Regions from separate parts of the Mus musculus genome. Here regions 2, 3 and 4 are each reported to be linked to region 1. Evidence: microRNA targets listed by miRTarBase, many of them from high-throughput screens and not tested one by one. Region 1 holds a microRNA gene; each other region holds the end of a gene's coding sequence.

Region 1 (4,068 bases):
TATGACTGTTGGTTCCTGAGATGTTTGTTTTGGTAGGTTATTTTATGTGATTGTGGCTCTCTGCTTTTTACTTGGTTCTGAAATGATTAATAGTTTGTCCTTTCTTTGGTGTAGATATCTTCCATGTGTTGGAGTTTTCCTTACAGAATTCTCTGTAGGACTGGATTGGTAGATACTCTTTGAATTTAGTTTTGTCCTGGAATATTTTTGTTTCCCCATTTATGTTGATTGAGAGTTTTGCTGGGTATAGTAGCCTGGGCTGGCATTTGTGTTCTCTTATGGTCTGTGTAACATCTGTCCAGGATCTTCTGGCTTTCATAGTCTCTGTTGAGAAGTCTGGTGTAATTCTAATAGGTCTACCTTTGTATGTTACTTGGCCTTTTTCCCTTGCAGCCTTTAATATTCTTTGTTTACTCTGTGCATTTAGTGTTTTGATAATTATGTGATGAGAAGATTTTCTTTTCTGGTCTCATTTACTTGGTGTTCTATAGGCTTCTTGTATCTTTATGTCCATCACTTTCTTTAGGTTGGAAAAGTTTTCTTCTATTATTTTATTTAAGACATTTTCAGATCTTTTGAGCTGGGAATCTTCATTCTCCTCTATTCTGATTATTCTTAGATTTGGTCTTTTTATTGTGTCCTGAATTTCCTGGATGCTTTGGGTTAGAAGGTTTGTATATTTTGTATTTTCTTTGACAGTTTTTTCTACCATATCTTCTGTACCTGAGATTCTTTCTTCTATCTCTTGTATTCTGCTGGTAATACTTACATTTGTAATTCCTGACCTCTTTCCTAGGTTTCCTTTTCCAGATTTGCCTTCATTTGTGATTTTTCTATCGTTTCTACTAACACTTTTAGGTTTTGGATTGCTTTATTCAATTCCTTCACCTATTTACCTGTGTTTTCCTGTATTTCTTTCAGTGAGTTATTGATATCCTCCTTAAATGACTCTATTATGTTCATGAGATAGGATTTTAGGACAGATTCCTGATTTTCAGGCGTGCTGGTATATTCAGGTTTTGCTCTGGTAGGAGAACTGGGTTCTGATGATGCCCATGGATTTTGGCATCTGTTGCTTATGGTCTTGTCCTTGCCTTTTGCCATCAGGTTATCCCTGGTATTTGTTGATCTAGGTGACTGTATGGAGTCTACCTCTTTTGTCCCTGGGTTGCTTCAGGTCTCCTGGAAGGCTTGTGGCCCTGGCTGTATCAGACCACCTGTGGGGCTGTCCAACTGGCAGCTCTTCACAGAGGCAGAGAAACTGCTGGTCTATTGCCTGGCAGCAGTAGACCTCCTGGTTGGCCTTCAGACTGTTGAGTCTTTAGGTGGAGTAGTCAAGTTGTTGTCCAACTGAGCTGAGGGCAGCTGATACTCAACTGCTCTGAGTGCATTTGGTCCTCTAGGATATATCGGGATATGGAATCTTCATGGGAGCAGGCCAACTAGGAGTCTGCCCCAGCAGAAAGGACCAGACTGAAAGGGTGGAAAGGACTGAAGGAATGGTGAGCATGAAACTTTCTAACTTGAGCTATTTTATCATTTTTATCATTTTAATAATTTTGTGTACAATATTTAATTCATCAACTCAATAATATTTAGCTGAATACTCTGTGAACAGAAAGAAAAAATTGAAAGATTAAAGCTCTAGGCTATTCTGTGTTCTCAGAAGACCTTGACTGTTAATAAATGTTACAATGGATTTTGCAGTCTACTTTCTCTGAATATTTTTCCAGGTAGTGAAAATAAGCAATTTGCTTCTCTTGATTTTTGTATAAGAAAATATGAGTGGCAACTGAAAAGAAATTCACAAAAAATCATGAAAACCCAGCAAGGGACATCTATCTCCACTTATAAGAAAACCAGTTTTCCCTTTTAAAAACAAGATGTTTTTCAATTCTCAGAAGGGAGTTATCATCTTAATTAAAAGCGAATATCAATATGAATTTAAAGGCTGTTGGTTCCTTTCACGTATGCTTTGGACAGTAGGTATATGCAAAAGAAGAGAAAAAAAAAACAAAAACAAACAAACAAAAAATGTCAAAGGGTGTTAGTTTGGATTCTGTTTATCAATATTAAGGGACCAAAGGAAATGGAATTCTATGTTTTTCTTTGTATATTATACTTATATTGTTCTTTGGGAAGGTAATCAAAATCAATCGTCTAAACCATTTGATCAAGTAGCTGGTCAGATGGAAACTACCCAGGAGTTAAAATTGTGACCATACTGTAGACTGTGAGGGTGAACAAAATTGTAAACATTTTCAACAGGAACCAGTTTTACATGGGTAAGCAAAGTAGAAATATTTCTGCTTAGTTTCTCTAGTGTTATCCAATGCTAAAACAGATCAGAACTATCTAGTTGGGGGTGAAGGTACTACTAGAGTCTTCATGAATGTTCATCATTTGGTGAAATTCTTATGTACTCATGTTTTATAATTCTTCTAAATATTAAAACATACTCATTTGGATAATGAAGAGATCAAAATTATTACACAGATAATATATACTATTTAGGATGTTTGCAGTCTTACATGTCTAGTCTTTGAAGTATTCAACTCCTATTCTTGCCCAGGATCCTACACACTGAAAGAAATTAGGGGTGCCTCATAATCGCTGTTTATTTGACTCATAATCTCTAAGATTGTCCAATGATCATCGAACCTGACTACCACAAAAAAAAGTAATTGAACATTTACAAAGCTCTACTAATACTTAAAAAATATCTTCTGAGAATGCCAGAGAAGTTTAGTGGTAGGGTCTTTGTACAACATATATCAGAACCTAGACTCAATCTCTAGAAAAATACATACATACATACATACATACATACATACATACATACATACATTCATTCATAAAAACACAAATAAATATTGTCACACTATTTACATAAAAACTGTTAGCATCCCTAAAGATGTATTTAAATCACGTTAGAAATTGCTATCATAGTTTTATCATAGTACTTACCAATGTAACTGTTAAGACTTTAAAGAAAAATAGCTGAGTTGCTTTATAGCAAAGACAATTGTTTAGTGTGGCTTTCCATACAGGTATTCAAGATTCAAATGCAATTGCTCTTTGTCAATCTCTAGATATGCTATCCCTCTCAGAACCAAGTGATCACTCTTATAATCTCGTTAATGTATTTAGATTTCACACTGTATACAGTTTGTATTTCTGTATCTCTGTTATATCTGTTGACAAAATATCATCCAGATCCATTTATTTTTCTGGAGATGAGATTATTCCACTTATCTTTATGGGCATATATACTTGACTGTTCTTTTCTAGCCACTGAAGATTAGTTCCTAGACTAACTTCATATCATGAGTGCTGTGAGAGTGGCACTTGCACAGATCGTGTCAGAGTATCCCTTAGTTTGCTGATTTCATTTCTTCCCAAATGCATCTTGAAATAGGACAACTGATAATATGTTCAATCTATGTTTAGCCTTGAAGTAACCTCCTTATATTTTCCATAATTCACATGTTAATTATGATTCAACTATCAATAAATAAAAGCTCATTTTAATTCCATGCCTAACAACTGTCTCTTCTTTTAAACAATTAGCATTGTTATTGATGTTGGGTGATACCTCATTACAATTTTGATTGCTATTTCTTTATCTGGTGATGACACCGAGCAATTTTAGATATGTATTAACCATAGAAATTCAAGAAACTAACTAAAACAAATAATTTAATTGAAAAGCAGCAGGTATTGGGAGTACAAACTTTTCAAATATTATTTTCACAATAGTATATAACTATTTGTATTATGGATAAAAATATTCCAGAGGGAATACTTTCCAGAACATTGCTTTAAAAATGAACAAGTTCAGTTTAATAGTAGATACAGTACTCTATCATATAATGTTGTAGCAATAGTTAATAATCCATACTTTGAAATGGCTAAAAAATAGAATTTTAAAAGCTTTAATCGGGGCTGGTGAGATGGCTCAGTGGGTAAGAGCACCCGACTGCTCTTCTGAAGGTCAGGAGTTCAAATCCCAGCAACCACATGGTGGCTCACAACCACCCGTAACGAGATCTGACTCCCTCTTCTGGT
Region 2 (4,062 bases), not on the chromosome of region 1:
TCCTTTCGTTAACACTGATCACATACATATGCATGCCACCCTGCCATGCTTTTTCTGCATGGATGCTGGGCCTCTGAACTCAGGTCCACAAGCTTTGGCAAGCCTTTTACCAACCAGGCCTGAGCTTTGCCTACAAGCTTCATCTCCCTAGCCCTAGACAAGGTTTCTGTCTCGACCTTCCTTCTCTGATAAAGGCCCCAAGGTCGGGGTCTCTGTTGGTTTTTCCCACCTGCCTTGTTAGTATGAACATCACCATCCTTCTCTTCTCTTCCCAGGAAAGTATGTGATGGTGATGGGGGTGGTTCAGGCCTGCAGTCCTGAGCCCTGCCTGCAGGCCGTGAAGATGACGGATCTTTCTGACAATCCTGTCCACGAAAGCATGTGGGAACTGGAGGTGGAAGATTTACACAGGAATATTCCTTAGCGCTGGGACCCTCTAAGAACAGTTTACCCCCATATGGGTCTCAGGAACATCACAAAAGTTTCTTGAAGAGATTCGCTTTGGTTGAGCCAGCCGTCTGGACCCTGGGAACTGGATCCTCGGTTGTCTAAGCCACTCCTCCCTGCCTTCCTGCTGCTGCTGCAAAGCATATGCCCCCCCCCCCCCCCGTCACTTACGTGTGTGTGTGTGTGTGTGTGTGTGTGTGTGTGTGTGTGTGTGTGCGCGTGCGCGCGCGCGAAAGTGTGCCTTTCTCTTGCTGAAGCTCGTGGAAAGCTCATGTTGTCATTTCCTGGTTCTTCGAATGATAACACTTTCTCCTTGACCATACCTCTGAATTTCAGTTTGTTGCCAATGGATTAAAATTACAGATGTGAGGACAGAATGGCATAGTGGCCTGCCTCCCATCACCAGCTATTGCCAACTTGTAGGGACAGGTACCAGCCCCTTGCTGACAGCTTGCTCTCATATGCATTGTGCTCATACTGAAGCTGAGGCCAGCTGTTGAGAATGGTGGGAATTCTCACAATTCTCTGTTGAACTTAAAAATCCAAGATGGAGACAGACTTTTCAAGCACTTCTGCTTCAAAACTGTTGTGGAGAGACATCCAAGGTGGAACAGCCTGTAGGCTTAGAGTCCTGGCCTCCTTTCTGTATGAAACGCCTTTCTGTTGGGGTTGTATCAGTGTTGGGTTTGGCTTTCTGCTGACAACCCAGGCTAGATTCCTATTTGGATGGCAAAGACCCAGCAGGCCATCTTATGTTACAGTCTTGCTGTAGGACTCTTCCTAGTAACACTTTTTTTGTTTTGTTTTTTGTTGTTTTTCGAGACAGGGTTTCTCTGTATAGCCCTGGCTGTCCTGGAATTCACTTTTTAGACCAGGCTGGCCTCGAACTCAGAAATCCGCCTGCCTCTGCCTCCCCAGTGCTGGGATTAAAGGCGTGCGCCACCACACCCGGCCCTAGTAACATTTTTTGTGTGGTGTAGTTTTTAAAAGTAAGCCCTACTATCTGTTTGTCTTAAAGACAGGGTCTTATATAGCTCAGGTAGTCTCCAGCTCATGACTCTCTTCCCTCCCCTCCAGCCCGTTGAGATTACGGGTGTGCACTACTGTGTCTGCAGTGCTGGGGATGGAACCCAGGGCTTCCTGCAAGCTAAGCAAACACTGTATTACTGAGCCACATTTCCAGCCTAAAATGTTGATTTATTAAAACAGTTTTAGGTTTTTGGAAAGAATGAACAGAAAGTGTTTCCATAAGCACACTGAAGCTGAGGCTGTGTATGTGTTAAGCAAACACATGAGCTAGAGCCCCAGCTCTTGTGTCTTCAAGGCTAGCCAGATGTGGCAGGCCTCCTGCTGCAGCCTCCAGAGTGTGGCCCACACCCCACACTCGGCCCCCACACCCAGCCTCACCTGGATTGCCATGAGCATCAGGTGGTACTTGTCACCAGAAAAGCTAAGGAGTCACCTGGCAGGAGATGGACATCGAGGGACAAGAGAGGATGAGGACTCAGGTGATCTAGACCTGCCTCCTTCCTGCCCTCCACCCCCTAGAAAAAGCATCGAGGCCTTGAGCCCAGTTTGTAGCTCAGGCCAACCTCAGATTTCCCATCTTCCTGCCTCTGGTTAACTGGGATTGCAGGCCTGCTCCTCCAGCCTGCTTACATGGACGCCTTAAAAAAAAGATTTTATCTTTAGTTATGTGTTCGTGGGGTGCTTTGGAGCCCAAGAGAGAGTGTTGATAAATAAACTTTACCAGCCCCATGCCAGGTAGCTCACAGCTTCAGTAACTCCCTGTAGTTCCTAGGCATCTGACGCCGCCTTCTGGCCCCTGGAAAACCCTCACAACCTAGCATATAGACTTCAAATAAATACTTAAAAAAAAATAAGTCCTAAAAAATAAAGAGAGCCAGGTGGTGGTAGCGCACGCCTTTAATCCCAGGGAGGCAGAAGCAGGCGGATTTCTGAGTTCGAGGCCAGCCTGGTCTACAAAGTGAGTTCCAGGACAGCCAGGGCTACACAGAGAAACCCTGTCTCGAAAAACAAATAAATAAATAAATAAATAAATAGGGTTTAAGAATAGTAGTAATGAGGGCTGGTGAGATGGCTCAGTGGGTAAGAGTACCCGACTGCTCTTCCAAAGGTCCGGAGTTCAAATCCCAGCAACCACATGGTGGCTCACAAACCATCTGTAACAAGATCTGACGCCCTCTTCTGGTGTGTCTGAAGACAGCTACAGTGTACTTACATATAATAAATAAATCTTAAAAAAAAAAAAAAAAAAACAGTAGTAATGAATGGCACTGGGGTTGGACCACGGGGTCCCCAGGGTCTCACACACGCCAGAGTAGCACTCGACCAGCTAGCCTCCTCTGACCTTTAAACTGATGGATGTCTGTTGTGCTGGGAGGATGGTGCCCTACAATCCCACGTAAAGACTACCAGCTGATTCATCTTTCTGCATGACTGCCTTCCTGCCAGCCAGCCAGCCAGCCAGCCAGCCAGCCAGCAGTAGTCAGTCTCTCTGGCCTTCCCTTCTTCCTTCCCTCCCCTCCTCACCCTGCCTTCCCCACCCTACCTTTTTAGGCAGTGTCTCTAGTTCAGACTGGCCTTGAACTTGGGCTTTCCTGGAACTCATTATGTAGAGCAGATGAGTTTCTGCCTCCTGAGTGCTGTGTTAAAGGTGCTAACATTTTCTTTTAAAGGAAGGCCAAGTTGAAAAGTGATCTGTGTTTGACTGCTGAACCATTCATTTTTTAGGTCTATTTTTATTTGTGTGTGTGTGAGTCTAAAAGAGGACCTTGGAATCTTGAGCTGGGGTTACAGCAGGTCTGAGCATCCCTGTGTGGGTTCTGGGAACCAAACTCAGGTCCTCTGGAAGAGCAGCAAGTGCTCTTAATTGCTGAGCCATCTCTCCAGCTCCAATGTACGTTGTTTGAGCCTCAGAAAATTTGCCAAAATAGTGCAGCTGTTTATATTTTTATTTGCCTATTTATTTGCATGGTCTCTGTAGCCAAGTTTGTCCTGGAACTCCTGATCCTCCTGCCTCAGCTTCCTGAGTATTGAGATCACAGGTGTGCGCCATTAAGCTTGGTTTATGCAGTATTGGGGCTCAAACCCAGGATGTCTTAAATTATAGACATACCAGGTTCCTATCATGAATATCTTACATTAGTATGGCATGGATGTTAAAATTAATTAACAAATTAACTAATGAACAAATACTGAAAAGTTAGTAACCAAATTTATAGTTTGTTCTGGTTTCTTTATTCATTTTTCCCCAGGATTCCACATTCTACTTGGCCGTCGTGTCTCCTTAAGGTCTCCCTTGTCTGGGACAGTTGATCAGTTGCTTTTGATTGCACTGGAATTTAATAAACAGACACACAGGTACACACAGTATACACACACATGCATATGCACACACACACACAATTTTTCAGTCCTGGAGATAGAGCCCAGGGCCTCTTGCATGCTGGGCAGACTCTACAGCTGAGCTAGCTATACCTTAGGTCTCAAATTAATTAATTTTGAGGCATCATCTCATGTTCCAGGCTAGCCTCAATCTCACTGTGCAGTTATGCATGATCATGAAGCCCAGCTCCTCCTGCCTGCACTTCC
Region 3 (4,062 bases), not on the chromosome of region 1:
AGATTAACAGTCCTGACATCTAAGACCTACCCCAACACCCACTGTGTCAAAAATCTCCCAAACTGAGGGAGACTTCAGGGACTGTAAATGGTTCCATGTCCACAAGAGTGTCTGGGAGACTCTGACATGTCTGGTTCTCATCTAGAGGGAGGCCTGAGCTTCCCAACTTCACCTGTCACCCTCTTCCTTTCCAACCCAGGGTCTAGAGATTGTGAACCCACAAGCAGCCGAGAAGAAGGTGGCAGAGGCCAACCAGAAGTATTTCTCTAGCATGGCCGAGTTCCTCAAGGTCAAGGGTGAGAAAAGTGGCACCATGTCTACCTGAAGGAGCCCGCACTCCAGGTGACCATCCACTGAAAGGACATAAAGGACTGGAGCTTCTGAAGTGACAGATATCCAGCCAGGAAGTTGTGGTGTGGTGGAGGCAGCCTTCCATGCTTTGCCTTTGGCCCAAGGCCATAGCATCCAAGAAAAAGGATGAAGAACCTTAGCCTGCCTCCCCCAGCATCCATGCTGCTGCTTCCCTAAACGGGCAGAAAGGTCTTCCTCACACTCAGCTTTTTTACTTACAGGGGGAAAGGCAGTGCTTTTATAGAACGAGTACAATTAAATGTGTAGTGTCGGGCTCTGAACAGAGGGTGTGAGTGATTATGAAAGAACCAAAGGACTCAGAGCTGTGGGGCTTCCAGTGTGAGCAGCATGGACCCAGCTCTCTTCTGCTCTTATCCTGGAATCTAAGAAAAACCCTGTCTATCTCTAACACCATCACCTGCCCCATGAGAACATCAGCATCATGGCCACCACAAAACTCCAGGACCCAACAAGACCCACAGGGTTGTTGTCCCTCAGGCTAGACACCTTGGTCCAAGAAACATCCACACAAAATGAAGCACGTAAAAGCCTTGGAAAGTGTGTACAGAAAGCACCCACCCAGTTCTGCATTCATGGTGGAGCCTATTGTTTTAATTCATGTTTGATGAGGGGTCCAAGCCTAGGTCCTCAGCAAGGGTGAGGCAGGCGGGTGTCCTGTGGGAGGGACCAATGCCAGGCAAGCAAAAGAAGTGCACACCACCCAGTCTGACTTGCGAGCCGGGGCTTCAAGGGAGAACGTTGAACAGTGCGAACTGTGTCTGGTTTGTTATGAGTCTGTCGTTCTCTGAGGGAGAGTAGCTGCTGGGCTCCATTTTCTCTGCTTAAGGTTAGCTCTGTTGGTCTAAATGTAGATGTAGCTGGTGAGGTTAGGGCTTTCTATCTTGGGCTTCCTGGTCTCTATTCCTCTCTACATACTGTATCTTAATCGTAGTCCCCCGTGGGTCTGTTGGGGAAAGCCCTTTGTCTGTCACTTCCCTTAGAACCCCTACTCTGTCCCTGGCCTGACTTCATTCTGACTTTGCCAGTGTTGAGTGGAGTGAAGTATGAAGATGTGAGTCTCGGAATTCAAGATGCTGCAGAATGTCTTGAGGACTCACTAAGATATGGTTGCTGGTCGTAAAGTTTGATTTCACTTTTGCTAAGATAGAGCTCAAAAAATGTGTATTTAAGCCTGTAATCCTACTTACTCAGGAGACTTTTGAGGCAGAAGGGTTGGAAGTACTTAGGCTACACAGTTGAGTTCAAGGTCAGCCTAGGCTGTAGGAAAAAGCCAGTGTCCAAAAAAGAAAGGAAGGAAGAAAGCAAGCAAGCAAGCTAGGGAGATCTGGCAAGATAGCACTGTTGGTAAAGTGTATTTCATAAAAACATGGGAACCTTGGAAGGCAGAAGCAGGCAGATCTCTGAGTCTAAAGACAGCCTGGTGTACAGAGTAAGTTCCAGGACATTGAGGGCTACACAGAGAAACCCTGTCTTGAAAAACCCCAAAACCAAAATAAAGCCAAAACAACAGCATAAAACCATGAGTTCAATACTTGGCACCCATATAAAGGCAAGGAGTTGGTAGCATGTATTTGCCATTCCAATGCTGACAAGGTGGACACAGGTATGTATGGTCCTGATGAGTGGCCTATCTAAAACAAAGCAAAACAACCTCAAAAACAGCAACAACAAAAAATGAGCTGCTGAGATTGACTTGGCCTTCATAAGCACATGCATGTGCACCTGCACACAGTACATTCATATGCATATGCACACATTCATATGCATATACACACACAAAATGTTAGGGGGAGTTGACTAAAGAGATGGCTGCTCCTCAAGAGGACCTGGGTTTGATTCCCAGCACCCACGTCAGCCTACAATGGTCTATAGCTCTAGCCCCAGAGAATGACATCCTTTTCTTATCTCCTTGGGCACCAGGTGCACATGTGGTGTAGACACGCATAAGCTAAACACCTATACGTACACAATCAAAGTTTTTAAAGGGCCAGCAATACAGTTCAAACCGGGGTGCCTGCCTAGCAGTGTCAAGGCCATGTCTCAAACATTTTAAAAGGGCTTTGCGGTGTGGTGGCACTCACTCACTCCCAGCGTTACCAGGCAGAGACCAGATTTCTGTGAGTTCTCTGGCGAACCTAGTCTACACAGTGACTTCCAGTTCCTTAAAAGGTCGAAGAAGCAGCCACATGGTGGTAAGCACATACCTGAAATCCAGTACTTGAGAAATGGAAGCAGGAAGACTTGAAGTTCAAGGTCATTCTCTGCTGCAAAGCTCTAGGTCCAATCCAGCCTGTCCTATGTGAAATCTGTCAAAAAGGAGAGGCAAGAATCGACTGGAAATAGCTCAATAGTAGTCTTCCTCCCTAGCATGTTAAGCCTTGGTTTCAAATCTCTCTACTGGAAAGAAAAACAGGAATTTCCATGGATCATTTCAGGGAAAGAATAACTAGTTTCCAACTCTAGCTGTTGATGTAATTGTTCTAGCATAAGTCTTAAGTATCTGGATTCTACCTCCACCAACTCCCCCGGTGATTCTAAAGTGCAGCTCAGCCCGAGAATCATAACTGTTTTTAAGGCCATTAGTATATCCTGGGAGCTTGTTAGAAAAAGCAGAATTGGGGACCGCCTAGATAAGAAGGAAGCTGCATCTTAATAATTTGGCAGGGATTCCTGATAGAGCTAGAAGCAGTTCCCCATTCTTGGGCCCGCATGAAATAGCAAAACTGAATGAATAACAAACTCGAGAGAGTGTAGAAGCTGTTTAAAAAATCTGGACAAACACTGGTCCCTAGGTTTCACCTTCTTAAGTCTATGTGACCCTAAGAATATGCATCTAAAAATTACATAAATGTGTGAGCTTAAGTGCACCAGCAGATGCCAGCTGAAAGAGTCAGATCTGGAACTGAAGTTACAAGCATGCAAGCCACCCTGTGGGAACTGGTCCTCTGCAGGAAAATGTTCTTAACTGCTGAGCCATCTTTCCAGCCGAAGAATATGCCTTTTTATAAGCCATTTTTTCTCTCTTGCTTCATGCCATTCTGATGCGGTGAAATGCACGTGCACGTTCTCTTCAAGTGTGGATTTATCTTCTTTTCCTCCACATAGTAGGCAGAGATAGATCGAGTTTCCCCAATTCATGAAAACGTGGTGCTCACGTTTGCAACCTAGTCAGCAAAGGGCTATGGAGTGCTTCATGGGTACTAAACAACGAGAAATCCAGAGAGTGAGACTCAAGTATGTGTAAAAACGGCAGGAATCAAACAAAATTAAACCAGAGGCTCACCTAAGCACTCGGCAAGGGTGGTCGGAGAAGTTTACTCCTTAAGAAGCATAGCAGAACTCTAGTGAGTAGTCATTACAGATGTAACCGAGGTAGGGCAAAGCGCAGTTTCCTCTACAGCTGGAGTCCTTGCAACTCCAGGGAAGGTCCCAGTCTGCTAACTTAACCAGAGAAACGTCAGTCCCACGCCTTGTGTTTCTCAGTCGCTTCTGCAATGTTCCTGATTCCTTCTTTCTTTCTTTCATCCTTTAGAAAGCACTGAGTTTTAGAGATATACCAAGCAAACGCGCTTGGGGAATAACTACGAGGATCAGATAACAGCCTAGACAGGCAAAGGAAGGATGCTCCGACAACCACACCTGTCGGCAGGTTAATAGCTACCCTATTGGCTAACCGAGGGAAGGGGCGGG
Region 4 (4,062 bases), not on the chromosome of region 1:
AAGTCTGTTCCCATGAACGATAACTCCTAATTTCCCCTCCACACCCCACACCCCCCCGCCCCAGCCTCCCACAGCCTCTTCTCCATTTCTACCTGAGTATTTCTAAGGACCTTGTGTAAGTGGAGTTTACCTTGTGGCCACATGGTCATGTGACCAGGTGTGGGGTTTCAGAAAAACTGGGCAGCAGAAACAGGTTCCGGATGTGCAATTACCAAAAGTTAGCTCAAAAATCAAACACAGCGTGATTCTGAGATCTTCTGTGGCAGTGTTTGTACGAGTTGCCTTGTGGTCTGAACACACACGAACACTGCACGGTGCACGCCATCACGATATGCAACACCAGTGAACACACTGATTTACCTCTGCTCAGATTTGATACTATTGAATGTCATGAACTGCGGTGACCTTACTCTCTTAGAGCATATTATGTTTAATTACTGAAAACAGAGACTTGTGATATTTACCTTCCATTGTCCCAGGCAAGTAAGTATCAAATTTGTTTATCTTTAGATGCGATTGTGTTAGACAAAAAATAAACACACCCCTCTCAAAAGCAAATTTATTTTTTATCCTTAATAGGTGATAAAATGCTATGCATGTCAGAGAATTTTTTTAATTAAATTTCTTTGTTATTTATTTTTATACATATTTTATATTTCTACATAACATTTCTCAAGCAAAAAGTGGTCGTGAGTAGAAAAAGCTAAAGAATTAGATCAACTGACAAAATGCTTGTTTTTAGATCTGAGTAAGAGCCCCAGAACCCATGCCAACTAAATTGTTTGCAGAAAGAGGAGACAGGCAGATCTCGGAATGGCCTGCCTAGCCAGCCTAAACTACTTGGCAAGTTCCAGGCCAGTGAGAAACTCTATCTCAAAAACAACAACAAAACAAAAAGGCGATGGCCCCCCAGGCCTACACACATACACCCCAAAACCCATTCTCCACATCCCTTTTGCTTGTCGTCTGTGGGTTGGAGCCTAGACCGCTTTCTCTGGCTCTTGCCTTCTGTGCGCGTTCTCATACAAATTGTGTAAGTCTTTCTTTCGATTTCTTTGGCTCTCTACCTGGGAATGGGACTGCTGAGTGACTTGGTGACCCGAGTGTGACTTTCTGAGAAACTGCCAATTGTTTCCACTTTAAAGTGCAAACTATTTGAGATGAAAGAGCCCAGCACTGGTGCAGGGGTGATGGGAAGTCCCTCAGGAGATTGAAGCCACCTGGGCTCGCACTGGCCTCCTGGTTATGCAGTTTATAGCTCTCCCTGGAGATGACGGATCAGATGTGTTTGTGATTCAAAGGCCTTTTCTGCGTCCAGAGCCACACGGCTTCTTGGTCTGGGTAAATTGTACTAGAGCCTAGAGTTTGGCACAGAGAATTTATTTTTCAGATTTCAGAAATGGTGATGGTGTGTGCATACGTTTCTGGTTCCATTCATAGGGCCTGAACTCCAAACATGATTGCGTCCAAGGACTGAAGGAAAAGCCAGGGGTTTTAATTGAGAAGGCAGGAAATAGGATATCACAGAGTCCCCACCAACACAGACCAGAACTACTTAGATCACGCCAGGCATGCTGGGAGAGCAGGGAGCAGGTGACCCCATCAGCTGCAAGTCGGTTTAGAATCCCTTTTCTTTTTGACTTTTAAAAAAAATATTTGGGGCTGGTGAGATGGCTCAGTGGGTAAGAGCACCCGACTGTTCTTCTGAAGGTCCAGAGTTCAAATCCCAGCAACCACATGGTGGCTCACAACCATCTGTAACAAGATCTGATGCCCTCTTCTGGAGTGTCTGAAGACAGCTACAGTGTATTTACATATAATAAATAAATAAATCTTTAAAAAATATTTGTTTGTTTGTTTATGTATTTATGTGTGAGTGCTTTGTATATGCACACCTGCACACCAGCAGAGGGCATCAGATCCCACTGTAGATGGTTGTGAGCCACCATGCACCCTGTGGTTGCTGGGAATGATCTTAACCATAGAGCCATCTCTCCAGCCCCTGTTTTAGAATCTTAAGTTCTGTCTGGGTTCAGATCTCAGTTCTTCTACTTCTAGATGGAGCAGAGTTTAACTTTCCCCAAAAATTTTTTTTTCCATTTGTAAATTAGGGACATTATGGAGACTGTGTAAAACAATTTGGATAAAATAAACCCATGCGGGCGAGACGATTCTCATGGGGTCAGAGGCACACCCTTGATGAGGATGGGATCTGCCCTTCCTCGGGTCCTGAGAACAAAATCCAGGGGCTCCGTTAAGTTGGGAGAGCTGAGGCTCAGTTATAGCTCTGTGTGCAAAGCTCTAGGTACAATCCCAAGGAATCCCAAGCGCCCTTTCAAGAAGGCCTCTCAAACAGAAATCACTTAAGAAAGCATTCTCCCTCTCCTGGTTTCAGAAGTCTACTTTAAACCATGAGGTTTTGATACTATTTGTATGTGATCGCCCTAAAATTACCTTTGGGCCAGTGAAATGGATTAAGCAGGTAAAAGTAGTTTTTTGCTGGACAAACCTAACGACCTAAATTCTATCCTAGGACCTATGAAAAGCTGGAGATGGCGGCATGCATCTGGAATCCCTGCACTCTGTTCATGGGCCGAGAAGTATAGAAAGGAAAATGCCCCAGGAAGCTTTACATGAGAATGTAACACAGCGGCAGAAATCACAAGATACTTTGCCTCAAATGAGATAAAAGATGAGAACTAACTCCTAAAAGTTGTCCCCCAATTTCATCAATGTGTGCGAGTATGTACACACACACACACACACACACACACACACACACACAATTTTTTTTTAAGTTTAAAGTTACCTAATTTCCTTTCTACCACTTCCTTTGTGTCCACATCAAATCTGGGGAATCTGGTAGACACGACTTTTCTAGTAGGTATGAAACCGTGTGTCTTAAGTAAGGGACTCTCAGCACTTTAAAAATAAAAATTAACTGAGCCCGATAGGTGGGTGGTTCAGTGGTTAAGAACACTGGGTGCTCTTCCAGAGGGCCTGATTCCCAGGTTCCATGTGGACGCTCACAACCATTTGTAGTTCCAGTTCTAGGAGATGGGATACCTTCTTCTGACCTTCATGGACACTAGGCGTGTATGTGAGACATACACGTAGGCGGATCACTCATATAAGTACAATTATATTTATTAAAGGAAAGAAAACAAAAACAACTAGCCATGGCAATACAAACAGAAAACCTTGAGTATCCAAGCAAAACTCTCCCAGGGGCCATTTAGAAGCAAACACTTCTTTTGAGGGCTCACTTTTATTTACTTCAAAGGGTTCGCCCTTTAAGGAGGCCCATAGTGTTAAAAGCAGAAGCAAAGGGGAGACACTTCAAGAATACAGCCGTGTGAGCAGAGATCACTCTCATTAACATGTAGGACATGTAGAACACTGCATGTTTGGTAAGTGTGAAAGGATTCAAGGAGACAGACCTTCCTCTCTTCCATCTTTCCTAGCGATGGCTATGGCTGGGACAGAGGTAGGCTTAGCTCAGCCTCTGCTCATCCTTGTTGATGTAACTCAATGAGCCGACCTGCAAACACAGCCAGCGTCCCGATGAGACACACCAGCATAAAGACTCCGAGGAGGATGTGATCCATCACCATGGCAACATACTTCCATTCCTCAGCGGCCTGGGGGAAGCAGAGGGCGTTAGATAGGAATCCCCTGAGATGGGACACAGGCTCATAGCGCCCCCTACTGGCCTGGCCTTCAATATGTAAACCTCCAAACCTCAACACCTGATATTACAACCTTTAGTTTTTGCATAATTAAGCCAAAATGACTTACTATAGTTGCCAGAGATAGTCAACACAGTGCATCTGAAGTTAGTAACTAGAGCTTGAAGCCAATTCATTGGTCAACCTCCCTGTCACACTTATGCATTTAATCATTTAGACCCAGAGGTGTGTTAGCTTAGAGGTTGTGGCGCAAACCTTTGGTCTTAGCACTCAGAAGGCAGAGGCAGGCAGATAGATAGACAGACAGACAGACCCGGAGGTGTGGACTGGGAGCCACACAGCTTACGTTATTGGACTCCTGGTCTGACTTCAT

Evidence for each region. The annotated mature microRNA mmu-miR-3961 reads UGCCCUCAGCUCAGUUGGA and lies in region 1 at 1,346-1,364, opposite strand. An mRNA with a match to its seed (bases 2 to 7 or 8) in the 3' UTR can be bound and repressed. Matches are read on the target gene's strand: a 7mer-m8 pairs with bases 2 to 8, a 7mer-A1 pairs with bases 2 to 7 and ends in A, and an 8mer does both.
Region 2: miRTarBase lists Rmi2 as a target of mmu-miR-3961. Seed matches in the 3' UTR shown: 7mer-m8 at 2,531-2,537.
Region 3: miRTarBase lists Prpf31 as a target of mmu-miR-3961. Seed matches in the 3' UTR shown: 7mer-m8 at 1,818-1,824.
Region 4: miRTarBase lists Chrna1 as a target of mmu-miR-3961. Seed matches in the 3' UTR shown: 7mer-A1 at 1,772-1,778.

The regions. Positions count from the first base shown.
Region 1 is chr13:82,696,933-82,701,000 of GRCm38, forward strand. It overlaps Mir3961 (microRNA 3961), which reads right to left and starts at 1,401; the gene lies at 1,343-1,401.
Region 2 is chr16:10,839,554-10,843,615 of GRCm38, forward strand. It overlaps Rmi2 (RecQ mediated genome instability 2), which reads left to right. Exons shown (of 2, transcript NM_001162932.1): 2 at 276-3,682. The coding sequence ends at 424. Among named protein-coding and RNA genes, the nearest start is that of Rmi2, 6.5 kb to the left of the region's middle.
Region 3 is chr7:3,640,598-3,644,659 of GRCm38, forward strand. Prpf31 (pre-mRNA processing factor 31) reads left to right here. Exons shown (of 14, transcript NM_027328.4): 14 at 200-1,888. The coding sequence ends at 325. It overlaps Gm15927 (a long non-coding RNA gene), which reads right to left and starts at 3,748. Exons shown (of 6, transcript XR_003946711.1): 1 at 3,656-3,748; 2 at 3,217-3,572; 3 at 2,577-2,678.
Region 4 is chr2:73,562,667-73,566,728 of GRCm38, forward strand. Chrna1 (cholinergic receptor, nicotinic, alpha polypeptide 1 (muscle)) reads right to left here. Exons shown (of 9, transcript NM_007389.5): 8 at 4,036-4,062; 9 at 615-3,641. The coding sequence ends at 3,510. Gm30940 (a long non-coding RNA gene) reads left to right here. Exons shown (of 2, transcript XR_866434.2): 2 at 2,534-2,712. Among named protein-coding and RNA genes, the nearest start is that of Gm30940, 3.5 kb to the left of the region's middle.